7 linked regions of the Canis lupus familiaris genome follow. The protein of the gene in region 2 interacts with the protein of the main gene of each other region in a pairwise test. Links are inferred from orthologs where the notes say so. Each region holds a gene or a part of one and is shown on either strand. Other genes may lie near its edges.

Evidence for each region.
Region 1: the proteins of DAZAP2 (region 2) and TOLLIP interact in binary tests that used the Homo sapiens proteins (3 or more experiments, as listed by UniProt). The two-hybrid records come from large-scale screens. The link is inferred for Canis lupus familiaris from reciprocal best matches to the Homo sapiens genes DAZAP2 and TOLLIP.
Region 3: the proteins of DAZAP2 (region 2) and MAPK1IP1L interact in binary tests that used the Homo sapiens proteins (3 or more experiments, as listed by UniProt). The link is inferred for Canis lupus familiaris from reciprocal best matches to the Homo sapiens genes DAZAP2 and MAPK1IP1L.
Region 4: the proteins of DAZAP2 (region 2) and PLSCR1 interact in binary tests that used the Homo sapiens proteins (3 or more experiments, as listed by UniProt). The two-hybrid records come from large-scale screens. The link is inferred for Canis lupus familiaris from reciprocal best matches to the Homo sapiens genes DAZAP2 and PLSCR1.
Region 5: the proteins of DAZAP2 (region 2) and TNIP3 interact in binary tests that used the Homo sapiens proteins (3 or more experiments, as listed by UniProt). The two-hybrid records come from large-scale screens. The link is inferred for Canis lupus familiaris from reciprocal best matches to the Homo sapiens genes DAZAP2 and TNIP3.
Region 6: the proteins of DAZAP2 (region 2) and KRTAP8-1 interact in binary tests that used the Homo sapiens proteins (3 or more experiments, as listed by UniProt). The two-hybrid records come from large-scale screens. The link is inferred for Canis lupus familiaris from reciprocal best matches to the Homo sapiens genes DAZAP2 and KRTAP8-1.
Region 7: the proteins of DAZAP2 (region 2) and MAGED1 interact in binary tests that used the Homo sapiens proteins (3 or more experiments, as listed by UniProt). The two-hybrid records come from large-scale screens. The link is inferred for Canis lupus familiaris from reciprocal best matches to the Homo sapiens genes DAZAP2 and MAGED1.

The regions. Positions count from the first base shown.
Region 1 is NC_049239.1:46,023,769-46,027,825, forward strand, and holds the start of TOLLIP (toll-interacting protein), read right to left. Parts: upstream 2,801-4,057; coding exon 2,768-2,800; intron 1,571-2,767; exon of another isoform or gene 1,295-1,570; coding exon of another isoform or gene 1,283-1,294; intron 1-1,282. UniProt on the Homo sapiens protein: Component of the signaling pathway of IL-1 and Toll-like receptors. Inhibits cell activation by microbial products. Recruits IRAK1 to the IL-1 receptor complex. Inhibits IRAK1 phosphorylation and kinase activity.
Region 2 is NC_049248.1:43,029,511-43,033,769, reverse strand, and holds the start of DAZAP2 (DAZ-associated protein 2), read right to left. Parts: upstream 2,801-4,259; 5' UTR 2,660-2,800; coding exon 2,647-2,659; intron 1,609-2,646; coding exon 1,490-1,608; intron 1,061-1,489; coding exon 892-1,060; coding exon of another isoform or gene 815-891; intron 1-814. UniProt on the Homo sapiens protein: In unstressed cells, promotes SIAH1-mediated polyubiquitination and degradation of the serine/threonine-protein kinase HIPK2, probably by acting as a loading factor that potentiates complex formation between HIPK2 and ubiquitin ligase SIAH1.
Region 3 is NC_049229.1:31,205,140-31,209,261, reverse strand, and holds the start of MAPK1IP1L (MAPK-interacting and spindle-stabilizing protein-like), read right to left. Parts: upstream 2,801-4,122; 5' UTR 2,650-2,800; intron 2,296-2,649; exon of another isoform or gene 2,086-2,295; coding exon of another isoform or gene 2,074-2,085; intron 1,768-2,073; exon of another isoform or gene 1,744-1,767; intron 1,511-1,743; exon of another isoform or gene 1,489-1,510; intron 1,473-1,488; exon of another isoform or gene 1,449-1,472; intron 1-1,448.
Region 4 is NC_049244.1:42,176,495-42,179,994, forward strand, and holds part of PLSCR1 (phospholipid scramblase 1), read right to left. Parts: intron 3,307-3,500; coding exon 3,264-3,306; intron 449-3,263; coding exon 228-448; intron 1-227. UniProt on the Homo sapiens protein: Catalyzes calcium-induced ATP-independent rapid bidirectional and non-specific movement of phospholipids (lipid scrambling or lipid flip-flop) between the inner and outer leaflet of the plasma membrane resulting in collapse of the phospholipid asymmetry which leads to phosphatidylserine externalization on the cell surface.
Region 5 is NC_049240.1:19,692,466-19,696,606, reverse strand, and holds the start of TNIP3 (TNFAIP3-interacting protein 3), read right to left. Parts: upstream 2,801-4,141; 5' UTR 2,777-2,800; coding exon 2,675-2,776; intron 1-2,674. UniProt on the Homo sapiens protein: Binds to zinc finger protein TNFAIP3 and inhibits NF-kappa-B activation induced by tumor necrosis factor, Toll-like receptor 4 (TLR4), interleukin-1 and 12-O-tetradecanoylphorbol-13-acetate.
Region 6 is NC_049252.1:26,352,243-26,354,681, reverse strand, and holds KRTAP8-1 (keratin-associated protein 8-1), read left to right. Parts: upstream 1-1,401; 5' UTR 1,402-1,441; coding exon 1,442-1,633; 3' UTR 1,634-1,939; downstream 1,940-2,439. UniProt on the Homo sapiens protein: In the hair cortex, hair keratin intermediate filaments are embedded in an interfilamentous matrix, consisting of hair keratin-associated proteins (KRTAP), which are essential for the formation of a rigid and resistant hair shaft through their extensive disulfide bond cross-linking with abundant cysteine residues of hair keratins.
Region 7 is NC_049260.1:44,749,736-44,753,704, reverse strand, and holds the start of MAGED1 (melanoma-associated antigen D1), read right to left. Parts: upstream 2,801-3,969; 5' UTR 2,756-2,800; intron 1-2,755. UniProt on the Homo sapiens protein: Involved in the apoptotic response after nerve growth factor (NGF) binding in neuronal cells. Inhibits cell cycle progression, and facilitates NGFR-mediated apoptosis. May act as a regulator of the function of DLX family members.

The sequences.
Region 1 (4,057 bases), on a different chromosome or scaffold from region 2:
CCCCATGAGCTGATTGGGCACTGCTGTGGTTTAAAGCAGCATGTTCACAAAGTCCCCAGGCTTGAACAAGGCAGGCAGGGGCCTCCACACAGTTACTTCTCCTGTGGCCCAGCAGTTGCTTCTGAACAGTCTGTGAAGTGGACAGAACCCTGGACAGAAAAGGATGTCCTCTCAAGAATACCAGCAACATTAGAGGGGAACAGACAGCACAGGCCTGGCATGAGTCTCAGTGGTGATTTGGGGAAGAACAACCATCTCAGCCCCAGCAAGGGGAGCGGCCAGCACTGCCCTGTCCTCAACCCTCCCCACCCAGCCCCTCAGGCCTCTGTGGGCAAGGGCACAGGAAACACCCCGTCTCCCCTACCAAGCAGACTCCCCTCCCTCCTTCACACCCCCAAGGATGCTGCTTGTCACTCCTCGGTGGTGAGTGGGAGGCAGTGGTCAGACTTCAGAGTACGCCCCATGTGAGTGAGTCCAGGCTCCGGGCTCCCTGGAGCCCCAGTGGAGGCCTGCGTGGTGTGTGCAGGGACGGGGCCCACTGGCACAGTGCCAATACCCAGGAGAGCCCCACCCGATGTTCCTCCACCACCCGCAGGGATGGAGCATACAGTCAATGTGGGGCACCTTCGGCTCGACAAGGTCCACCAGACTCGATCAACTATGACATGGTCCTTACAAGGATCGCTTAGTTCTGAGAGCAGCAGGGGACGCTGAAGAGGCCTTGTGCCAGGCAAAAAGCTTTCTAAAAACATTGTCACTGTAGTGACTAGATAAAACTCAAGCACCCAGTCCATCTGCTGCCTGCAGGCCGTTCATCTGGAAAAGTGCCCTGGCCATACCTGCCACTCGCACTGGCACAGGCATGACACGCATGACCCTCCCTGGCCTTCCTGCAGCCCACCTGCCCTCTCTCCTTCCAGGCCCGCCTGCGCTCCAGCCCCAGCCCTATGACACCCACTCCTTCAAGTGTCTCTTCCTAGAAGAACCTTACCCACTTCAACCATGGCCCCCGACAGGCCATCTTCACATCTAACTCTTGAGGTAAGACCCACAGCTCCGGGTGCCTCAGTAGGTTGAGCATCTGACTCTTGGTTTTAGCTCAGGTCATGATCCTGGGGTCATGGGATTGAGCTCCACATCGGACTCTGAGCTCAGGGCAGAGTCTGCTTGTCCCTCTCCTCCTGTTCCTCCCCTGCTTACACACTCTTCTCTCACACACTTTTTCTCTCAAATAAATCTTTAAAAAAAAAAAACAACCCAGAGCTCTGAGCATGCAGCTCACCTGTGCGGTCATGCTGGTGGGCTGTTGTCCGGGCTGCACTGGGAGATCCTGACAGCAGGCACCACACTTGCCTGTTCATTGTATGGTGCTGCCCCAAATACCATCATCATAACACTAGCCAAGAGGTCACATGACCTCACTGGCACTCAAGACCCCAGACACTGATGTCCCCTTCCCAGAGCCACCCCGCAGTTCCGGACCAGACCTAATGTCACTGCACGTTTACAGGTCACAGAGGGCACCCCTGAGCCACTCCTGCCATATGGGTGCTGCACACCACCATGTGCACATAAAGCCATACCACACTCAGGAAGTCAGACCAGCAGCACTCCCTCACTCCCGAGTGTCAGGAGCTTCAGCTTTATGCTGTCACAGAGCTGAGTGCTGCCCCAGTAACAGGACCAGCTGAGCTCTACGGAGGCTCCCTTCAACCAGATACGGAGCCCAGCTTTGTGCGTGTTTACACTCAGGCCCATGCCACCAGTGAGATTCTGCATGAGGGCACTGAGCTCCCAGGAGGCCAGGGAGGGGGCTGTCCTGCCAGATTATGAAGCCCACTGCTCCTGGGCGGGGGTGTGGGAGGACAAATAAAGGAGCTGCTAATCTGGTTCCCTTGCTTCTGGGATCAGCCAGTTGCATAAACATGAGAAATTGCTGGCAGTGGACCTGCTGTAATTCTCTGTGAAGATGGGAGAGCTGGAAGCCACGAGGATGAGTCCAGAACTCTCCCCCACGGGCTCCGGCATGTTTCCACACTGAAGTCCGACAGGAAGTGCGTGTCAGGTCCCATTCAAAGGCCTCAGAAAGGGCACCTGTGCCCATAGGGGAACGCTGACAAAATCTGGGTCTTCCTTTCAAACTCAGGAAAAGCGTTCTGTGAAAAGATCCTCCCTTAGCTCTACGGGTGAGAGGCCCTGGTAACGGGGAGCTCACGGTGGGCGGCTGACTTTGAGAGAAGGCACAGGAAAGCATCGCATCCGAGGAACCTTTCTTCCCTGCTCAAAAGGACCAGAACGTTCCCCCGCTGCGCGTCAGGAGCTGCTGCATCAGGAGCTGGCTGCCGGGGCTGCAGGGAGGCCCCCTACCCCGAGGCCATCCTCAGCCAGTCTACACTCTCCCGCATCCGCGCAGCTCAGAGAGAACTGGGAAGGACTCGCCCAGGTCCTCGGCCCCCGCCCACTCGCTTGCAAATGAAAAACTGACGAGGCGGCCAGTGGCCCCTAAGTGGGGACACAGCAGGGCCTGGGAGCCTTACTCAGCCTGGAGGCAGCACAGGGAGCATCCGGGGTTCAGGATTCTCCTCGTACAGGGAAGGCTGGGCGGGGCTTCTCCGTGTGAGGACTGTCCGGGGCTCCCACCCGGGGCACCGGGACCCTCCTCCGTCCGGGCCCGGCCCCGCCGCCACCTCTCCCGGAGCCCGTCGTTGGGCCTCCCCGAAGGCTCCGGAGCCCACGCCCGCCGCCCACCACCTGCCCGCAGCCTCACCGGCCCGCGCTGCGTGCTGACGGTGGTCGCCATGGTGCTTCGCGGGCCCCGCCTCGCCCACCAGGAGCGGACGTGCCCGGGACCTCGGCGCCGGAGCCTGCGACGCCGACTGCTGTCCCCGCGAGGCCGCCGCCGCCGCCGCCGCCGCCTCGGTCAGCTGACGCCTGGCCCCGCCCCCGCGCCGCTCACTGCGCAGACGCCACGCCCGCCACGCCCCTCCCGGCGCCGCACGCACGCGCGCCCCCGGCGGACGCCTGCGCAGTCGCTCCTTCCGGGCCGCCGCCCCGCGAAACGGCTCCCGAGCTGGCCGTGTGCGCACGCTCGCCGGCCGGCCCGCGCCGATCACGTGGCCGGAGGAGTTTCCGGCCCCTCCGCCTCTCGGGGCCTGGGGCGGGCGACCCGAGGGCTCCCGGTCCCGGAGGGCAGGCGACGGCTCACCCTGCGGCTGCCCCGGATCCTCGCGGCGCGGGAGCTTTTGCACGCGGATGTGTGGGCGCGGGGGTCGGGCAGACGGAGCGGCGGCAGTACCCGCTGTGGCGCGAGGGCCGGTCCACGGGCCGTGACGCCTGCGCGGGCACCCGCGATCCCGAGGCGGGGCGCGGCCCCCTGCGGCCCTGCAGTGGCGTGCGAGTGGGCAGCACGAACACCGGGGCCAGGACGGGCGTTCCTGCCTAGGCGCCCCCCCTCCCCCCGGGCGTCCACCTGCCGCCCCCCACTGCCCCCCGCCACGCTCCCACCCCCAGGGCGTCCACCTGCCGCCCCCCACTGCCCCCCGCCACGCCCCCACCCCCGGGGCGTCCACCTGCCACGCCCCCCCACCCCGCGTCCACCTGCCGCCCCCAACTACTCCCCCGCCACGCCCCCACCCTCCGGGGGCGTCCACCTGCCGCCCCCCACTGCCCCCCGCCACGCCCCCACCCCCGGGGCGTCCACCTGCCACGCCCCCCCCACCCCGCGTCCACCTGCCGCCCCCAACTACTCCCCCGCCACGCCCCCACCCTCCGGGGGCGTCCACCTGCCGCCCCCCACTGCCCCCCGCCACGCCCCCACCCTCCGGGGGCGTCCACCTGCCGCCCCCCACTGCCCCCCGCCACGCCCCCACCCCCGGGGCGTCCACCTGCCGCACCCCCACTCCCACTGCTCTCCCCCCCCCCGCCCCCCGGCCGTCCACCTGCCATCCCCCACTGCCCTCCTGCTCTGGTACAGTGCACCCCCCACCCCACCACCGATCATCCACCTGCTGCGCCCCCCACTGCCCTCTCGCTCTGCCCCGTACTCCTCCTTACCTCT
Region 2 (4,259 bases):
GGGCAGAGGGCAGCTGAGACAAGGGAAGTGGACACACGTGAAACAGGATCCATTAGAAAGATGGCAGTGTCCTGACCAATCACATCTTAAAGCTAGTTCTGCCAACGTGGGTTGTAAAGCAGGTCTATATTCTCTGTGAACCCAAAGGTACAGACAGGAAAAGAGCCTACCACTCATTTAAAGGCATTCTCACCTCATTTCAGGTATATGGCTTTGAGGCAAGGACCACCTGGGCTCTAATTCTTATAGAGGGGGGAGCTAAGCAGGCAACATAACTAAAATCTCTAGTATCTTTCTAAATGCCACTTAATAGGGGACTATGCTTTCTTCATTTTTTTCAGGATTTTAAAAATTATTATTTTATTTAAATTCAAGTTGCCTACATATAACACACAGTGCTTATCTCATGTGTCTTTCTCCATTTTTACTCATCACGTTTTTCTTTTATCACGTTTCTTAATGGAATGCCATACTGAAGGCAAATTTGAAGTAAATGTTACAGGCTGAATAAGGAGTATTACTAGACCAGTACCAAAGTGGAACTGCAAAAGCAGCAGGCAGGACTCCTAATGCTTTAAAGAGGTATAGGAAAACAAAGGAATCTGGTTAACTCAGGCCCCAGGGAATGTGCCAGATGCTACTGACTTGCCACAGTTCTCCTGCCCCCTCAACTGCTTTCTGCCCAACTACTGGATGTCAGTGCTTATACCCATACCACAGCTATTACCCAGGGATGGTGAAAGGATGAATATGTAATCTCTTCAGAAAGTTAAACTACGTAAGAGCTGAGTTGTTCTGATAAGGTCATACTCACAGGAATGTTGCCAGCAGTAGCCCCCGCTCCAAATCTGGCACCTGCATCATACCCTCCTTCCACCAGCACTGCTGAACCAGGTGGATAGATGGGACCAACTGGATAATAAGCCATGGGGATTGTGGAACCTAAAGGTCCAACAGCCACAGATTGGGCCATGGGAAGATACAGTGAGGCGCCAGGAAATGCAGCTGACATGGTGGGGACCGTGGCAGCCCCCGGATGCACGAAGCTCGGACGATAGAGCTAGAAGAGAAGGCAACAGGTTACTTTATGACATTCCGATTTTAGATCCCTTCTACGCTCAATTCTTAATTGTCCTTGTGCAGATTACACTCTTGAGTTACACAAACTGCCTTTCCACTGCCACTCAGTACCCTCCTGCATCACTTCCTGCCATAGCTAACGTGAGGCTCAAGGAACGCAAGCTCATCTTCTTAACCTCACCCGGTGCCAAAAAAAAAAAAAAAAAAAAAACATGAAACAATCAGATGATGCAGTCTCAACCCCAACAGAAATTGCGCTGAAGTGTACAGTGTTTCAGACTATTCACGTGAGCCCTCCCTTCTCCTATTTACGGACACTGAATAGATATGCGTGGACTCAGGCTTATTAGCTAAGGACTGAAGATGTGACCCAAGAGCACTGGGTTCAAGTCTAGTAAACTGGAAGCACCTCTGAGTAGGCAGGTGGAGCATCAGTATAGGGTGGAGCCTGAGGGAGATGCAAGGTCTGAGGGTACACTGGGTTCCCAGGAGGCTGCACGGGATAGGTTGGCTGCGTTGGATATTGACCTGGAAGACAAGAAAGAAAAAAAGAAAAAAAAAGGAAAGAAAAAGAAAATGCATGTTGCCTACCACACAGAGCCACCAAAATGGGGCAGAGCATCCTGGGTAGCTGCCCTAGGGGCAGCAAGCTGGAGATGTGTAGACAGACCGCTCTGGGTGGTGGGGTGGGGGTGGGGGCTGATTTCTGGGGCCGAGAGAATATTCTCTTCGCACCCTTATCCCTACTCCTACCGGGGCAGTCCTCCCACTGGCACACCCGAGCTTCTCCATCGATGCAGGGCAGGTGTGGGGCCCCGTTCCTGCCCGTGCCCAACGGCAGGGACGCGCTGCCCCGGCTCCGGGTGGTCGCCACAGGCCTGGCTGGACCGAGCCGCGACCTCGTTGGGTCACGGAGGTTGCGGGTTATTTGCCCCGCCGCTTCCTACTCAAGGTCGCCTTCCGAATACAGCGCGCGATGGACGTGAGCCCTCGGGACCCGAGGGAGGATAACGGGAACCGTCCTGAGGCACAGCGGAGGACCGTGTGGGGCCCGACGCCGGCACAGTCCCAGGAGCCGGGGGCACTTCGGGCGGCCGCGCGAGGCACGCGGAGGGAGACCCCTCCGCCGCCCCCGGGCCCCCGGGCCCCGGGGCCCGCCCGCCGGCGCCGCACTGGTTAAGCCCGGGCGCCGGCCTCTGGTTCCGGAGCGCGAAGCCCCGCCCCCGCCGGCGCGCCATTGGCCGACCCGCATCCCTGCTCTAGCTCCCCATTTGCTCCCGCAGATGCCCATCATGACAAGCCTCCCCCCTGCACCCCCCCGCCCCTCCACCCGAGCCCGCAGCTCCAAACTGCGCCACAGAGTTTAAGGAGGAAAGGGCCGGGAAGCAGCGAGCAGCCGCAGTTCGGGGATGACGAAGGCGTCTGGCGCGGCCCCCGGGGCCGCAGCCGGCCGGGGAGGGAGGCGCAGCGCGCCCCAAGCCTCCGCTTGGCGACCCCGGGCTCCGGGCCCGCTCGCTCCAGGCTAGCACTGTCCCCCCGACGGCCCCGGCCGCCCCCTGCCCTTGCCTTTGCTGTTCATGGTGGCTGCGGGTCCGGTTCGGCTCGGCGTCGCGGACGGTTATTTTTTTCGTCCTCTTCCTGTTCGTAGTCACTTCCGTGTCACGTGACGGCCCGTCCGCCTCGCGTCACCCGACGCCCGAGCGCCGCCGCCACCGGAAGCCCCGCCCCTCCCGCGCGGCGTCCAGTAGCTGGAGGGCGGGCGCGCGTGGCCCCGCCCCCCCGGCGCGCGGCGGCCCCGCCCCTTGGGTCTCGCCCTCCCACCCCCACCCGCGTCCCACGACGGGAAGAAAACCGAATGCAGGTATTGTCTCCAAACACGGTTGTTGGCTTTTTTTTTTTTGGTTTTGCCTTTGTTTTTTCCGCCCCCCCCCCTCCTCTCTCTCTCTCTCTCTGGGGCGCTCGGGGGCAGAGCCGCTGAAGCCGCTCCCCGGAACCTGCTTCCACCTCTGCGCAGCAGCTCAAGGTGACCTCACCTGCGGAGCGCGGCGGCCCCGGCCCCGGCCCCGGCCCCTGGACTGCGCGGGCTGGCGGCGCCGTCAGTGGGTCCTGGCCGCCTTGCCCGTCCCGCCGGCAGGTGCCCGCCTGCACTTGCGTCGCTGCCCCTCTGCCCGAGGGAGGCCCCGCGCAGGGCCCGGCCTGCCGCCTCCTGTAGCCTCCCTCTCTCTCCCTTCGTCCCTACCCTCACTGTCCTTAAGGGCAGGGGTGCCACCCTCTAAGGCAGCAGTGCCCCGGGCAACCTTCATTTTAAGATACGCCGCCTCTGCGCAAGTACAGAGATGGAGCTAAACAAGACCTTTTTTTTTTTTTTTAAGATTTTTGTTTATTTGTTAACCAGAGACACAGAGACCCAGGCAGAGGGAGAAGCAGGCTCCATGCAGGGAGCCCAACGTGGGACTCGATTCCAGGACCCTGGGGTCATGCCCTGGGCCGAAGGCGGACGCCCAACCGTTGAGCCACCTGGGCTGCCCCACAAGACATTTTTAAAAAAAATATTTTATTTATTTATTTGAGAGAGAGAGAGTGCACCGGCAGAGGGATGGGCAAAGGAGAGAGAGAAGCAGACTCTCCGCCGAGCAGGGAGCCCCATGCAGGGGCTGCACATCCCAGGACCCCGGGATCATGACCTGAGCCCAATGCAGACGTTTAACCTGCTGAGACACCCAGGCGCCCCCAGCACAAGATGTTCTTTTTTTTTTCTTTTTTTTTTTTTTTTTTTTTTATTTATCCATCAGAGAGAAAGAGGCTCCATGCAGAGAGACCAACGTGGGATTCAATCCCAGGCCTCCAGGATCTCGCCCTGGGCTGAAGGAGCCATCCAGCTGCCCAGAACACAATGTTCTTTTTTTTTTTTTTAATTTTTTTTTTTAATTTTTTTTTTTTCTTTTTAAATTTATTTATTCATGATAGTCACACGGAGAGAGAGAGAGAGAGGCAGAGAGAGACACAGGCAGAGGGAGAAGCAGGCTCCATGCACCGGGAGCCCGATGTGGGATTCGATCCCGGGTCTCCAGGATCGCACCCTGGGCCAAAGGCAGGCGCCAAACCGCTGCGCCACCCAGGGATCCCTGAACACAATGTTCTTAATTTGGTTCAGACTAATACTAGTATTGAAAACCCTG
Region 3 (4,122 bases), on a different chromosome or scaffold from region 2:
TTGGACAACTCAAGGAACTGAGGACTTAGTAAAGTTTTTGAATATTCTTAAGCTTTTGAAAGACATAATTTTTATTTTTTTAAAAGATTTATTCATACATGAGAGACACAGAGAGAGGCAGACACAAGTAGAGGGAGAAGCAGGCTCCCCGCGGGGAGCCCGATGTGGGGACTTGATCCCAGGACTCTGAGATCACAACTGGAGCTGAAGGCAGATGCTCAACTGCTGAGCCACCCAGGCGTCCCAAAAGACATAATTTTTTAAAGTATCATTTTTTTTATACTTATGCCTGGAATATACACACCAGGCACTGTCTTGTTAGGCTTTGGGGAAATGAAGAGTACTACACAGAATAGACATTTAAGGAATTCACAATCTGGTGAACTACCCTTTATTTTTTTTTTTAAAGTTTATTTATTTATTTATTTATTTATTTATTTATTCATTCATTCATGACAGGGAGAGAGAGAGAGGCAGAGACACAGGCAGAGGGAGAAGCAGGCCCCAGGCAGGGAGCCCGATGCAGGACTCCATTCTGGGACTCCAGGATCACACCCTGAGCCAAAGGCAGGTGGTAAACCGCTGAGCCACCCAGGAACCCCCCTGAACTATCCTTTAAATAGTAACTACCTTACTTTGGGTAAGCCCAGGGCACCAAGTTGAGTACCTAAAGGGCACCTAAAGGAATCAAGGAAAGGAGAATAAGGGGAGGAACCCTGAGAAGAGGTTCCTTTGCAGTCTGGGAGAACAATGAAGAGCTGGCAGTAGGGGATGATGGGACAGGCCCCGGGAAAGAGCAGACCGTGCAAAAGCTAAAGCAGGCAAGAATACGCTATGGGAAATATAAGCAGTTCGAATTGGTTGGAATACAGAGAGGGGAGGGATAGAAGTTTTAGCAGAGAGCCTTTAAACTGAGGTTTGAATGTCTCAATCAGATTCAGCTCACCCCAGTGACTCAGTTTCTTCAACTATAAAAGGGCTAGTGATGCGAAAGACTAAATGGTATTCATAAATTAAGTGTCTATAATAACAGTGCTCTAAAAAATAGTGGATGGGCAACAGATATATATTCCCTTGTCTTTCTTCCTACATGGGCATGGCAGCAGAGATTAAAAGAATGACCCTGAAAGTTATGGCTGCGTAGATAAAACCCTAGCTCTTCACTGGCAGGTGATGGACAGGTTGAATTCTTCAAACTCCAGAGGTTTAAGTACACAGGAGTAGTATCCACCTTGCAGACCTGCCCCCAGACTGACAAAATAAATCTCCTGGTCTCTCTCTGGCACTCAAGGAAAACTCAACAAACGTTAACTTTTACAATCGCGGTCACAGGCCTGCAAACCTTTATCTGCAGTTCTCGATTTGGAAACTTCTGAAAAGAAAAGGAAAATTCCAGAATTTGGCATAAAACTTAGTTGGGTGGCAAAACGTGACCTGAGGATATTTACAGTTTCCATGAAGTCACGCCTATCCCTGCACCATTATTACCGTAGTCTCAGGGATGCTGCTGGGACCTTGTGAGGGTGACACCTCTGGCCTACGCATCTTACTCTTTCTAAAATCTAAAGACACAATTCGAAGATTGCTGAATTCCAAAACATACCGGCCCCGAGCCTTGCAGTTAAGGAATGGGTCTCTCTCTGTTCCTTCTGGAGAGAAGAAAAGAACATTCTCACACACACAACCCAACTCAAGTCGCTGAGACAAACTAGTTTTAAATAGGAGGTTCAGAGACGCCAGTACCAGAAAAATTCCTGTTGCTGCCCAGTGAATACAGCCGAACAAAGAACTTCTGAAAGCTCTCCGAAGGCTACCTTGGCCTGTAAAAGGAGGCTCCTTTACAGAACATGCCTTCACAACCATCAGGTGTGTAAGAGTGTGTATTTCTTCAGCAGTAATTTTTTTTTTTTTTTCCCGTCAGGGGAATACGGTCTGATGCCTCAACATTAGAAATTTTTAACCAGTAAAAGCACTGCTTTTGGTTTTCGAAGAGGAAACGGCTCAGCTATTTATAAGCTTCCATGCGTAACACAAGCCCCCAAATCCTAAGAAAGAGAGTGTCGCCGAACTCACGGCTTCTGTCATGTGTATTCGTCGAATAGGATCTGTGTAGCAACTCCTTCGGCAACTAACGACCGGAACGTTGTCACACGGCGGACAATCTGATTAAACAAGTGCCAGATTCCTCCAAGGCTGTTCAGGCCCCTCGCTCCCGTTTTATTAGAAATTAATGAATGGGGGAGGGGACCGAGGGGGCGCGAGCCGGGAAGCCTTCAGGGCCCAACGAACAAAGGGAGTCCGGGATCAACCGGAGCGAACCGGCCGCCGAGCGGGTCGCGCCGCCCGGAAAGGGGTGGGGGTGGGGAGGGTGGGGGAGGGGCCGGGCCCTCTCGCCGCCCCGCCCCCAAACCCGGCCTGACGTCAAGTGCGGAGAAACCCGTCCGGCGCGACGTCAGCCGCCTCCGACGCCTCCTCCCGGGGGGCGATCGGGGGGCACCTCGCAGCCTGAGGGAAGATGGCGGGGGCCGACGTTTAGTCCCGGCCCCTGAAGAGGCGACTCGAGGTTCCTCTGTTACCGCGCCCGTCTCCCGCTTGGGCGTGCTCCCCTGCCCCCCTCCACGATACCCACTAGCGCCGAGGCAGCCTCACCCGGCCAGATCCGAGCCCGCAGCAAAGTCTAGAAGCGGCGATGGGTCCGGGGGAATCGGGTGCTGAAGAACCGAACGCGGACTGACTGACGAGCGCGGCGGCGGCGGTGGCGGCGGCAGCAGCGGCGGCGGTGGCGGCGGAGGCGGAGGCGGCGGCGGCGGCAGCGGCAGCACTAACAGCGCGCGGCTCCTCCTGGCGCCGGAACAGGAAGCGCCGAGCGCGCCGCCCCCGCGCGCTCTCCCCCCTCCTCCCCGGGCCGGGTGCGGCCGCGGGCGCCCCCCGCAGGCTTCGCGCTGCACTGCGGCCTGCCCGGCGGGGCGGGGCGGGGCGGGGCGGGGCCGGGCGGCTGCTCCTCCCGCTCGCCCCGGGGCGGCTGTTTTCCTCCCGCGGGAGGGAGGACCGCTCCCCGGTTTTCCGGAATTCTGAGCCCTCGGAGGAAATGCCTGTAGCCAGTGACGTTCTGGGCACCTCGGCGGAAACTGCTAGCTTGTTTCCTGGACTGGTTTGAGGACTGCTTCTGGATTTCCTACGCTTAGAGATTTTTACAGCCGGGCTTGGATGCCGGCTGGCTGTGAATGCGGCCAACCAGTGAATCCCGGCCCTCGGGCCGAAATTGGGGAGCGCTACAGGAGCCATACGGGGAAGGGGGCCCCACATGTTCATCTTTGAAAGAACCTTTACCTACTTTGGGTCAGGTCTGTAGGATGATTGACACATTCCCCCGGCTGTCAAGGAATCTGCCGTAATTATATAGTGTGCAAAATGTATATACATACAGTATGTACATAGATTTTTATATGTAAAACTACACTAGAAATATGCGGTATCAGTACATTTTGCTTCTTTGGGTAACCCCTTAGTGGGTCACTGGGCAGGGGCATTTTATTAGAAACGTCTTAAAGGAAGACTTATTCCTGGGTATGCTCCACCAGAACCCACACTTCTCCTACTGGAAAAGAGGCAATAGAGAAACTGCAAATACCCAAGCCTGGGGAAGACCTATTTTTGGACAGGGAAAATGGTCTATGGAAAATGACATTAGTGTGAACAACTTACCCTGCCGTCAGGAGGCAGTGAATCTGTAATGCCTTATGGAGCTATAAGGAATCCTGAGTCAGCAGACGTCAGTAAAACTATATTTAAAATCTTGACCTGGGACGCCTGGGTGGCTCAGCAGTTGAGCGTCTGCCTTCGGCCTGAGCGGTGATCCTGGAATTCCGGGATCGAGTCCCCCATCGGGTTCCTGTATGGAGCCTGCTGCTTCTCCTTCTGCCTATATCTCTGCCTCTTTCTGTGTCTCTCATGAATAAAATCCTAAAAAATAAAATCTTGACCTTTTTTCATTAGGTTGTTGTTTTAATTCTGATTTTTTAAAAATTTATTCATGAGACACAGGCAGAGAAAAAGGCAGAGGGAGAAGCAGGCTCCCCGCTGAGCTGGGATTCCCAATGTAGAACTTGATCCCAGGACTCC
Region 4 (3,500 bases), on a different chromosome or scaffold from region 2:
GAAGATCAAGAAGCCTGGTCTCAGATCTCTGATCTCAACCCCATGAGACAGACACACTACTCATGGCCATGAGGCTAACTGCTCATTGTTTTTCACCTGCCTTTCTTCTTGGACAATTTATTCTCAAGTATAAACCAATAAGCTTATGGATCAATTTTCCTTTAAATCTCATTTGATTACATAAATTCAATAAAAGGGTAACAATTCTTACTGAACTACTCACTGACCTCCTGAAGGCAGCAAGGGCAACAACAGCTGCCACACCTTAGTGGTCTCTCCAGAGTTATAACTTCTTGGCCCATATTATCAAGAATCCTTATGGTAAAAGGCCTAGAAGCTCCACAGCAATTTCGGGTACAGAAATCCGTATCCTCTGCTGCAAAGTAAATCCTCTGTCCAAAGCTGTTCTTAATTTCATATTTGTTATTAGTTTCAAAACCTGTTATGACTAAAAACATAAGAGAGGGAATCATTATGACCATTATACTAAAAGAATATCGAATCTATCCTAAGATACTATATCCTACCATTTGTAGATCATACTTTAACAAAAAGGAAAGGTGTTTAGAGATGATCTAGATAGAGGATAAAAGATAAAGGGAAAAAAGAAGGAGAAGGTATTAAGGAACAGAGAAATTAAAGTCTCTGTGTAAGACAGGGAAAAGAAAACTCCTATCTTCTTAATTCCATAGTCTCATGTCAGAAAGACAGACTGCTTCTGAGGGATGGTACAGTGATGTAGATGGTCATAGCTTGCTTTGTGCATGCAGAAAATATCCACTTGCTTGGTATAGTTTTCTAATATTCAATTATATAAGGGAATATAGGATGGTTGCTATGTTCATACTCTATGAAATATTCTGTTGAATAAATTGGCTTGAGTTTTTTTATATATAATATTCATGGCTTATGTTTTTGCACTGTGTGATGGTGAGTAATGACAGGGCTTACTCTTAATGCACACTTGTGCATTAAGAAAGGGAGGGGGTTAAAATGGAGGGTGAATTAGAACATCACATTGGGCTCAGAGCACCCTGGTTTAAGATTTGCTCTACTGGCCTTTGCACATTTTTTAATCTCCATATTTATGAAAAATGTCTAAATTGTTAAGGAACTCTTTCTTAAACCCTTTTAAAAATAGTGGGTTGGATGAAGGAACACAGCTCTGATCAGTGGTGCAATTTCCAAATATGAGTAGCAATGCTGCCAAAATGGAAAAAAAAAATGGTTTAGCTTAGCGGTAGTTATTCAGAAGTGGGTGATGGGTATTAGACAATGGGAAGAGGTGCTTCGCAACCAAGGCTGCAACTCAATAGGCTATCTAGACCACTGGCATCCTACGTAAATTCTGTACTCTGGAGGAGGCTAATCTTTTCACAAGGGGACAGAGGTATGCTAAATGCTGATGTCCATGTGACATCTTACCAATGGGCTCCTATACTGAATCACACATTGCAAACCTCTCCTTGCTTAGAGCCAGGGGAACATTAACAGTCCTACTAGTCTACAGTCCTCATTAACGTGGGTCATGAGATGCCAGAAAGCCACCAATATATAATGAATGATAGAGAGATACATATGGAGACAAAAAATATTCTCTAATATCTGTGTGGATAGACTTAGTCAGATATAGATGTCCTTCATAAATTCTATGATCATGGCCTCTCTTAAGTATCTTAGCTGGCTTCAGCCAGCCTTTGGATTTTTAAAAGAACCACCCTTGACCTCAACATCTGCCAGTCAAGTGCTGTGTAAGAAAAAAATTAAACTGATTCGTAACATGGAGTCTGTTATCTAAATGTTTCATTAGCTAGCTTAATCTCAAATTCTTAGCTAGTTTATCTGTAAAATGAGATGAATGGGTTTACACAATCTCTAAGTTACCTTCTAGTTACAAAATGAGAATGAAATAAGACTTCTATGGTCATCATTACTGTCTATAAAGTTTTGAATTGGGAAGTGTGTAAGTGCCTGTCATACACTCAGATGGTAAAAATAAATGGAATAATCTCCATCTCTTTATGCTATCATGTTACAATATATACTTTCATTGAGATGAAGAGAAAAGAAGAAAATTGAAGACATCACTATTAGAAAACTGAAGAATAACTATAAATTTTGAACTTACTTTACCTTTCATGATATGTATAAAACTTATACATTTAAAAACTATAAATGGGGAGTGCTTTATGATGTACAGTATCTGGTTTGGTTTGATTTTATGACATCAAAAATAAATTTCTTAAAACATTAAAAAATTCAAAGTACTAATTATCAAGCAACAAAGAATGCCTTTCCAGGGAAAACTTAGTATTAACTAAAAACACGCATATTATAAATATCTAACAACGTACATTATAAGCAATTTATTACTTTTTTTTCATTATAAGCAATTTAAATAAAACAGGCAAAACTAAATCTATTATTCTGCTCTTACTATTCATAGTTATAATTTCTATCATTGGAAACAAACTTTGCAGAGAGATGAAGGACTTAACAGATATATTATAAACTCTAGCTGAGCGTTCATTACTCTTTATATCTAGAAGAAAGACACCATGGTTCATGAAGGCATCTAGGTTCTCTTTCCCCTGGTAAGAGTCTTGAAGCATCTGGTGGCTTCTTAAGTTTACCTTGCACCTCAGGAGTGCTGTACCCAAGGAAATATTTATTTGCCATTCACATGAGCAGGAGTGCTGTTTTAAGAAGCCAGGCCTCCAAGCCTACTGATCAGCATCCTCCAACAATGCATTAGCCCTGCACCCAAGGTGATAATCCACAGCCCACAGAACAAAGGTCTTACAAGGTTCATATGAACTCCTGATATAAATTGTTGGCAAGAATACATTTTCCAAAACATACCCATCCAAATTGAAGGACTTTCCTGGCTTTAGAAATGTACCAAGGTAACTGAACTAGTGCATATGGTTCTGTGTCAGCATCAAGATCATGTCAGGCTGGAGAAAACAGCTGAAATGATTTCTAGAGGGAAGTGGGAGCAAAAGTACTTTTGATGGGCTTCCTTCTAAGTTGGCATGAGGATGGATGCTCAGAATAATGGTGTTTTACAAGTTGACTTCTAATTTCCAGAAATGTGCCACTGATAATTGCCATCATTTCATTATCATGAAGAAAGACATTTGTAAATAATCAGATTTAACTGTTCCACATCAGTGAAAGTGTTATATTTGTGGTTGCTGATATGCTTTTATCTGTAAAAACATCTTCTTTCTAGAAATATGGTCAATAAAATGAATACATACCTTCCAGAAGCTCAATTTGCTGATGAATCAGTATTTGATCTATCTATTATAGTAAAAAAAAAAAAAAGACGATATTTTCATTCTTTTTATACCAAAATTAATATTTGTGTTTTCTATTTTAAGGAACGTATATAATAAATTGTCAATATTTATCAATATTTAATAATATCATGTCTTACTTCTAAACTTTTATACCTAAAGGTATAAAATTAAAGTTAATATATCTTTAATTGAAAA
Region 5 (4,141 bases), on a different chromosome or scaffold from region 2:
TAAGCATACTACAAGGTCTAACAGAGATGTGGAGAGGTTGTCTTTATGACTCTTTGAATCAAACAGTAACTAAGTGGTTTAAGTAGAAACATATATTTTGAAAGGTTAATCCACCCATACACAGGGAAACCCCTTTTTTTAAGAAAGTCACTCTGCTGCCAAGAGGCTATTAATATTCATCTCTCCGATACAAATACAACCACCAGATAAAAGATTCATAACCTATGTGAAAATACCACAGAGGATTCCCTCTTAGTCTCAATGTTGTAATGGAAACACAAGAAAACAACACACCTCATCAAGCAATCAGGAGTACTACAGGAAATCAACCTGCCCACTTAATGGAAAAGTTCTATCAGCTTAATAGGATCACAACACACAAACATAAAAGTAGAATTAGTATAATTTACTGTAAGGACCACATAGGTCACACACTCATTTCTAGGAATGTTCCTCTGTTTCATCTTCCTATTTCTTTCCCTGAGAGAGCTAGCACCCAGGTTAACATTTAAATACTCATCCTTCAAAGTAATTTAGAAATATGCCCACTACCTTAAAAAAAAAAAAAAAAAAAAAAGTTGCTGAATTTTTTTTTTTTTTATGTAGAGGGGAAATTGTATTTATAGTCTCTATATTGTTTCACTGGCACAACAGAATAGGAATTATGTATATTTTTCTCACCATACAAGAAAATAGTCTATATAATTATTAGCAGTGGCAAACCTTTCTAAAATGATGAAAAAATTTGTGCCAGTTCAGGAATTAGATCATGGCAGATGAAGTACCCAATAGTAATCACTAGTGGTTATTTGCACCATTTTTTTATGTTGAAGTATTCATTCTTCAGGTAATCATGATGAGCTTAAGTAAACAGCAAAGAGCATATTGGCAATATGCTGGAGAGAACATGGGTATATCAATTTGCCTGTTTGACTGACTCCAGCTCTCATCACAAGGCATCAAGCTTCAGGAAAACAGACTTGACAATGTGAGTTAATGAGGATCCCACTTCTGTAATTCCAATTCTACAAACACACTTTTCAAAGTCGATGAATCACAATGGGACCTTCAGCATTATCTTTCTTATGACAAAATGCTATAAGTATCAGTCTTAGGTGGTAAATCATGAATGTTCATCATATTTTTCTTTATGCCTTTCTTTATGCCTACTTTGAAATAAATTTTCAAAAGAAAAAATAGTCCATAATGCCATGTAGCTTGTACATATACTCGACCTAAAAAAAAAAAAAAAAATCTAAACAAAACTAGGAAGTCAACAATCTGTACTTAATCTGAGTTATTAAACATTTGATACAAAAATATCATTGTTATAAGGTCTCCTAAAGTCTTTTGAGTATTATCTTTAAAAAGTATTTTGAGGCAGCCCGGGTGGCTCAGCAGTTTAGTGCTTGCCTTTGGCCCTGGGGTGTGATCCTGGAGTCCCGGGATCGAGTCCCATGTCAGGCTCCCTGCATGGAGCCTGCTTCTCCTCCTGCCTGTGTCTCTGCCTCTCTCTCTCTCTCTCCCCCCCTCTGTCTCTCATGAATGAATAAATAAAATCTTTAAAAAATTTTTAATTAAAAAAATAAAAAAGTATTTTTAAATTACACAAAATGACATTTACCCTGTTAGTTTCTTTCCATGTGAAAAAAATAATGTTTCACAAGAATATGACATTTTAGTGTGATACCAAAAAAGCAATAATATGTTTATTAACAAATAGCAAAAGGTGATGAAGTCAATAAGGTGATGAAGTCATTCTTACAGGAACTGGAAACTAGATCTAATTAATGTCTTCCTTTGTTGAAATTCTTTTACAATTACAGAGTGCTATACAAATGCACAATGTAAATGCTGTCATTAAAACCTTCAAGTGTTCACAAAGTGTGTCCAATGTTGTTTGAAGCTATGCACCTCTTCATTTGATGACCACATAAATTATAGAATGCAGAAAAAGCACAGAAGTTTGTTTCAGAGTATACTGAAGTTTATGCAGGAAGGTTATTTCCATTAAAAACTATGGAATGGACAGTGGGGATGGTGATGTTAGTCAGTGGAAAATGATATAAGACATGATTTTCATTTACCCCATGAAATGTTGGAGAAAAAAGAGTTCATAAAACACAAAGACAGATCTTGTTACCTCCACCTGCACTGGAACTGTAAGAAGGACGCTGGACTCTGTAGAACACCACCGTGAAACAAAGGTGTTACTCGTCCACAAAGCATTGTATTGCTTCTGGTGTACCTCTAGGTCACTTAAAATCAACTGGAAGAAAAAGCTGCTATTTGCTGACCAAATTATTTTTACAGTTCACAGAGTGTTTTGTTTAGTGATTTACCTTTAGGGAAAAACAAGGAAATGAGTTGAAAAACATTTTAATAAAACTTGAAGACTAGTGTCTAAAGTGATTGATCCAAAATTAATTTCACATGGCTTGAGGGTACAAGTGTCTGAGGGAAAAGGGGAAAGAAGGGGAAAATGAAACTAGTGAAGTGAGACAAGGCTATTGAGAGTTGAGTTGAGGGGGGAAAAAAGTCATATTCAGTGTTTTTTCCTTTATCCAGAAATAATACCAAGAGTATTTAAGAGTCTAAGGGAAGGAGGTTTCCACGCTCTGGGCTTGGGAAAGGGCAAATCCAATCTGCTGGAAAGATGAGCAGAATTTGTCACCTGGTAACAAGGCTCCCCAGACCTCAGCTGCGCCTTCTGGGCCAGCCCCAGGTGTCCTGGAAGACCAGCAAAGTGCTTCCACGTGCTTGCTTTCAAGACCATTCCAGGCCTGCCCCTCACCCTCTCTGCCACCACCTCAATTTCCCAACATTCCAGATTCCATTCCATGGGTGAGAATGGAGGTTGAATGAAGACGATGTAAATCTTACAGTTGAAGAATTCACTAAAAAGGCTTCACCACCATAAGGTTTTCTAAGAAATATGACAAAGCCGACCTGGCAATGTTAGTCCTGTTAAAGTAGAGTTTCTTTGGGAGTTGTTCAAGCTAGTTTGTTTCTATTCAGTGAGAGTTTTCTGTGGATTAGGGACATTTGATGGCTCTCCAGAGTCCTTCAAGGGGAGGCCATGGCCTCTTGCCAAACTTTGGTCCTTATTGTTTCCCTGAGAGAGTCAAAGCAGAGAGTGTATTTTTATTATAACTTAAGAACATCACCTGTAATGTTACTTAAAGGACAGAGATGGTTGTGCCAGGAGCTTCAGCTGGATGGATATCAAACTAGAAGGGTAATATGGCTTATACCTTACGGTCTCCCATCCCAGTTTATTGGTAATAAAACTTAGTTTTTAATTTGGTCTTTTTACTTCATAAAAAAATGTGTTTTTTTTCCTCTTGGATTCAAATTGTCATAACAATCAGGAGCATAGCTGACTTTGCCATTTGATGAAACCTCATCTGGATAAAAACTGACATAAAGAACAGATAATTTGTCATCATTTTGCAAACTGAATACTCATTCATAAAACTTTGGAAACTGTTATACTTATGATATAATGGTTAAATTTGATTTTTTCTCTGTTCTTTTTTTTCCCAATAGAACTATAGTTTTAGGGAATTTAGTAATTCTATACACTTTTGCTGAGTTTTCCCTCCTTACTGTGTGTGTGAATGCTTTTTAAAAATTCCAGTTATGGATAACCAGGGGCTAAACAACATATGATTTAAACCACTAAATTATCACATTTCTGCTTTTTCCGAAGGGCTGGAACCAACTTTTCTCTGAAAAATTCTGCCAAAAAGAAGATATATCAGGCAAACAATTAGGATGGACAAGGGGCATAAATCTCCTTTCTAAAGAGGATGAAAGAATGGATGAGAATCACGGATGTAGATAAATCAGAAATGCAGCTGTTTGGGACCGAAGTCCAGTTATCACTGTACGCCAGGCCCAAAGATGTGGTGATCTTTAAAAGACAACCTTAGGTGTTGACAAGTTGAGACGTCCCAGGAGAACTCTGACACTCAACCCCTTTGACTTTTACCCTCACCACAACTGCATCCCATCCTGTTTTCAATATACATAAATGTATTTTCTCAGCCAAATTCAGGAACCATACCTGTTTTCAACATTAAATTTGCTTTTGATCATTTCTATCTTACAGGAATTACCACCCAAAGAGCATTAACTT
Region 6 (2,439 bases), on a different chromosome or scaffold from region 2:
ATTCATTTCAACGCCTTCATTGACCATTCATTTCGATGCCTGAGTGGCACGGTTGGTTAAGTGGCTGGCTCTTGGTTTCAGCTCAGATCATGAACTCAGGGTTCTGGGATCAAGACCTGCATCAAGTTCCACACTGGGCTCTGCGCTTCCTTCTCAGCATGAACTCTACCTCAGGATTCTCTTTCTCCCTCTGACCCTCCCCCAGCTCACTTGTGCTCTCTATAAAATAAACAAATCTTTAAAAAAATTAATCCACAATCTAATTTTTTTTTTTTTTTACAATTATAAGATTATTAGTTCAGACAGTGGTCTCAAAATGTGATGTAGATATATAGTTCAGGTGGGGATTATAATTAAGATTACATTTTTAACCAGTTTTTAAAACAGAATAGCTATAGGGGCACCTGGATGGCTTATTCAGTTAAGTGGCTGCCTTCTACTCTGGTCATGATCCCAGGGTCCTGGGATCTACTGGCCTCAGCCTTCCTGCTGAGCAGGGAGTCTGCTTCTCCCCTTCCCCCTTCCCCCTGCTCCTGCTCCTGCTCTCTCACTCAAATAAATAAAATCTTATAAAAAACAACAACCAAAAAAACTAGAGTAGCTATAGATAGGGAAAGAATAAAAAGGAGACTTTCCTATGAGCCCAGTGGCATTTGTCTTGCACACTACCAAAAAGAATTCTTTTTTTTTAATTTTTATTTATTTATGATAGTCACAGAGAGAGAGAGAGAGAGAGAGAGAGAGAGAGAGAGAGATTGAGAGAGAGAGGCAGAGACACAGGCAGAGGGAGAAGCAGGCTCCATGCACCGGGAGCCCGACGTGGGATTCGATCCCAGGTCCCCAGGATCGCGCCCTGGGCCAAAGGCAGGCGCTAAACCGCTGCGCCACCCAGGGATCCCCCAAAAAGAATTCTTTAACCAAGTGAATACTATGAAATATCTCGAGTTTAGTTGGACTTACTATGTATTTATCACTTCATTTATTAATTTATTCCAACACATATTTACTGAACTCCACCAGTGCATTCTGGAAATTCGGTGAGCAAGAGGACTGAATAAGAGCTAACAACCTCAGAGCATTTCTTGGTTTTATAAAGTCTGCTTACAGAGAACTCTATCTAGGGTCTATAGGACCCAGGGCTTTGAAGTCACTGCAATGCTTTTTTAGTAAAGGGTCACACTTTGAAGGGATCCCGTCCCTATATTCCATGACGTGAGAGGTTTCTTAAGCAGCTGTAAAGACATCTAACGCAAGAGCAAATCAAATTAACGAGCTTTTTGTGGTGTCAAGAATGAAAATTGGTGCCAAGAATGAAAATGAGGGCCTTGTGCTTTTAACCACACCCCATAGGCAGGGTATATAAAGAAGGTTCTGAGACTGGAGAATCATCACACAGAGGAGTCACCTTCTCCTGCTACCTGAGCCCTCCACTCCTGACACCATGCACTGCAACAACTTCTCCGGTGCTGTCTTCCCAGGATGCTACTGGGGCAGCTTCGGCTACCCCCTGGGGTACAGCGTGGGCTGTGGCTATGGCAGCACCTACTCCCCAGTGGGCTATGGCTTCGGTTACGGCTACAACGGCTGTGGGGCCTTCGGCTACAGAAGATACTGGCCATTTGATCTCTACTGATTTGCTGAAATTGCCGAGGCATAGAATCTTCTCTCCCAAGGTTAAGAGGCACCCTCAACGTTCCTCCTTTGCTCCTTGACCTCCCAGTTGCTGCTTCTCAGACCTAGTACCAGAGTCCAGAGGGAAAGAAATGAAAAAGCAGACGATGCCTTACCTGCCTTCCCTGGATGATGTTCTTTGAGACATTTTCAGAAACTTTATACCCAAACATGTATTTCATCTGAATTTTTCACCATGCTCACGACTCTTGATAAAGTTGTGGATATGTGTGTTGAATTCTCAATAAACTTGTCTCAGCCAGCATAATACTCTTACTTGAGCAGAGTTTCTTTTCTTGGCATGTGCATATTTTCTGTTACATTGAATGGGGAAGGAAGTGGATTTATTTTTTCTCACCTGGGCTTTAGAAGCAGTAAGAAAGCAAATAATCCTTGATCTAGTGTGATAAATAGGCAAGAGGGGGCTGCTTGTGAGGAGGAAAAAAAGCCTGTCTTAACCTTTTACCTCTGACATCACCTCCAATCCTTGGTCCAATGGTACACCATTCAGTGCTTGGTGTTTCTCATCTCACTGCTTATTCCCTCCTCAAGGAAACCCAACATGGGGAGGTGGGGGGCTTTTCAGTTCTTTCCATATTAGTGCAAATGAAATCCACTGTGTTCCTGCTCCTGGGGAGGAGAGAGTGTAGAATAAAATACCATTTTCCCTATTAAAAGATTCTGAAGCCTCAAGTCATAGAAAAGCTATAGACATATTTTAGGAGTCTAAGAGTCTTTTAGGGGAAGGGATTATTCCATAAAACCTAT
Region 7 (3,969 bases), on a different chromosome or scaffold from region 2:
CTATATACATATGATATATATTATAAAAGGACATCCATTATAACAGTGGTACTTATATAAGGATAGAAAAATTAACCAAACAGAACAAAATTCAGAAGAAATAAACCCACATAAATAACTTAGTCATTTGATTTATGAAAAACATGACTCTATAGGAGGGAAATAGCTATCTTTTCAATAGTGATATTAGGTTGATTAAATATCTGCTTTTTTAAAGAGTGGGAGCATGAGGTGAAGTGGGGGCACAGAGGGAGAGGCAGAAGTAGACTCTCCGCTGAATAAAGAGTCGAATACAGGGCTTGATCCCAGGACCCTGGGATCATGAAATGAGCCAAAGGCAGACATTTAACCGACTGAGCCACTCAGGCACCCTTGAATGTCCATTTCAAAAAATGTACAAAAGGGGGGCCTTTACGCATACCAATAACTCATACTGAAAACATACAAAGAAATCAATTACAAATAAATTGTGAATACAAATGAAAGATCAAACAATACCACCACATAGGTTAAGCAGGCTCCCTGTAGGAAGCCTGATGCGGGACTCAATCCCAAAACCCAAGGATCACGACCTGAGCCAAAGGCAGATGCTCAACTACCTAGTCACCCAGGCATCCCAGGGCCAACTATATTTAAAAGATTGCCTGTACAGACAGACAAGTACTCAATTCCTCCAATTTAACATACCAAACATTTATGGGCAACATATCATGAGCACACAGTGATAAGAGCAGTGAGAGAGGTAAGCAAATATGCTGTAGGATAGCACACAATGCACTGCGGATAAAAGATTGAAGAAGACGTGAGGATGGATGTAAAGATACGTCTTCTAGACGTATTAGGTATGTAACTAACAACATACCTAAATGTATGTAAAGACATGTCTTCCTAGAGGGCTGGTAACTAACAACATACCTAATTGATAGCAAGAAGCTCGCCAAGATTAAAAAACAAAAGAATATGGGAAATGTATGTGCCTGGATTAGGTTATTTCAGTATGTAGAGTGCTACATTAAAGCCATGCAAAAAAGTGACAATGGGCAAGGGGGGTGTGGAAGCAGAGTGAACAAATACAGAGACACCAACATAAGATATATCCTGTTTTTCCCATTAATAGCTGTACATAGTTCGTGCCCTCACTTCCTTTAGGTTTCTGCTCAAATGTTGCCTTACCAGGGAAGCCTTCCTCACCATCCCTATTTAAAATACTACATCTCCTCTCCATTACAACTTACTCATATTTACTATATATTCATTTACTGTCTCTCAACTAAAGTTTAATAAGCTTTTTATTTTCCACTGTTGTATCCTCAGTGCTTAACACTGTCTGACACATAAAGTTATTCAATAAAAAAATTCTTAGATGAATAAATGATGGTTGCACACTGGGTTGAAGCCGTGGGATATTTAAATGCTGTGTTACTATAACTTGACTAGAGAATACAGAGACATCAGCAATACCCTTCAAAAAAGTTTTTAAGTGTTTTAGTATCATGAAGTCGAGCCTGACTTTTTTCTAAACGAACTGAAAATTACACCTAGCCCAGAAAAAGATTTACGTCTTATTTTGGCAAGTATAACACACTAGTTACAGGAGGAAAGGAATAAATTGCTTGTTCAAGGGAATTCTTGGTGAATAAATTCCTCTTTAGAGCCTGAATAATCCTGACACTCATTTTAAGTTTAATGATCATATCCCCTCTCTTGGGTAAAAAATTGAATAATAAATTGTGATTAACTAACGTTCTCACGAGACAAAGTAAACATGATGAATGGAACAGAAAAATATATTTCACCTTGCACGAAATAGAGAATACTTGCGAAGTTCCCAGGAAAACTTTGAAAATCTGTCAGCTTGCTGTTCAATGTTGCCACCAAAGACCAGAAAAAGATTTGAATAGGCATAACTCATATGAAAAAATAAATTTGTGATTGGATGTCATATCCGTCAACCATTTCTGTCCTATGACAAGTTCTAAAGGAGATGGGAAAGCTTCGACCATCAAGAATTGACACAAGTTTTACAGGCAAAACCCCTATGACTGCTCCTCTAAAAAGTGGGGATTGAGTTCTGTGCCAATTTTTTTTTTTTTTTATGTCAGGAGGGTTAAAATCAGTGCAGTTTCTGATGTATCATTTTGGTTAAGAGTAAAAATAAACTCAGCAATAATATAATAATCTGAACAAGCTCCTGTGTCTTAGGACTAAAATTTCTGCCACTGCTTATTTTAAGGAAATAAAAGAGTTGACCTTGAAACTGAAGTCACACCTGGTTTTGGCAAGTTTTTAATTCAAAGGACTCTGAAAGAGGCGGGCAGGAGGGGCGGGGGGGGTGGAAAGTAAAGTACTGGAGCTGAAGAAAAAGGAAGGGCGTAGATTCCTAACGGGAGAAGGGGGTTGCAAAAGTTTTGAGGCTAAAAGGGGCCGGGGAAGAAGGTGGAAGTTAAGAGGTAGGAAAAAAATCTGTGGTAGAGGAAATGGCCCAGGCTCAGAAATATCAGGAAGAGGATCTGGGGTAACGAGGAGAGGTGAAGAATGACCAGGGATAAAAGGACAAAAATAGAGAGGGAGGACAGCCTGCCATCTTCAGAATAGGTAGACAGGCGACCGGAACCATAAGCGTCAGAAACATCCTTCACACAATGTGCTCTGGGGATGAAATCTTTCCACCCCATGTTGAAGCAAGGAGGAAAGCTTCCCGGGAGGGTTTGGAGACTCACTTGTGAAAATTATGAGCCTCTTTCTTTCCACTCACCTCAGTGAAGAAAGCCCCGACACAACGATGGCGTAACCGGAAGCGCTATTTTCCTTCGTTTGGCGGAAACTTATTTTCCGACGCCACGCCCCCTTTACAGGCAACTTCCTGTGCCTCTCTAGCAAGCTTTTACAATACTTTATTGCTCTGGCTTTCAGCGTATCAGAAGCTGGTTAGTGATGTGAACCGGCTCAGAGACAGTAACTTTTTACTAATTAAAGCTCTAGGGTCGCCTGGGTAGTTCAGCGGTTTAGAGCCTGCCTTTGGCCCGGGGCGTGATCCTGGAGTCCCGGGATTGAGTCCCATATCGGGCTCCCTCTCCCTCTGCCTCTCTCTTTCTGTGTCTCTTATGGATAAATAAAATCTTTATTTTTTTAAAGATTTTATTTATTTATTCATGAGAGACACACAGAGAGAGGCAGGCAGAGACACAGGCAGAGGGAGAAGCAGGCTCCACGCAGGGAGCCCCATGTGGGACTCGATCCCGGGTCTCCAGGATCACACCCCGGGCTGAAGGCGGCGCTAAACCGCCGAGCCACCGGGGCTGCCCTAAAATCTTTAAAAAAAAGAAATTTTAACTCTAGTCATCCGAAGAACTGCATTATTTCAGCCAAACCCCACATATCCAAATTTGTCACCTCGCCTTATTGATTTAGCCCTTAAAATACCTTCCTAACCCTTAGTGCCTTGACTCTTGGATGCCAACAGTTATGTATTTGCCATACTGGTTTACCATTTTCTAACATACCATGTTGAGTAAAAAGTTCATTTTTATAAGTGGCATACTTCGATTTCGAGATTTTAAAAAATCTTAGATCTGAATCATTTTTGTCTCGGAATAGTATCCAAAGAGTTACATGCTATACTCAAATTAACAAATAAAGGTAAATTCATCTAGAAAGCATTCTTGTATATGTATATACCCCCCCCAAGAAAATGACAACTGACAAAATTTTCTTTTTTTAAGATTTTATTTATTTATTTATTTATTATGAGAGACACAGGCAGAGGGAGAAGCAAGCTCCATGCAGGAAGCTCGACGTGGGACTCGATCCGGGGTCCCCAGGGTCATGCCCTGGGCTGAAGGCAGGTGCTAAACCGCTGAGCCACCCAGGGATTCCCAAAATTTTCAATAATAAGAATAATCCTTACTCTGGTTAAAAGTTCAATATTGAATCACCTATTGCCACTACCTCCAGAAAACACTGGGTCCA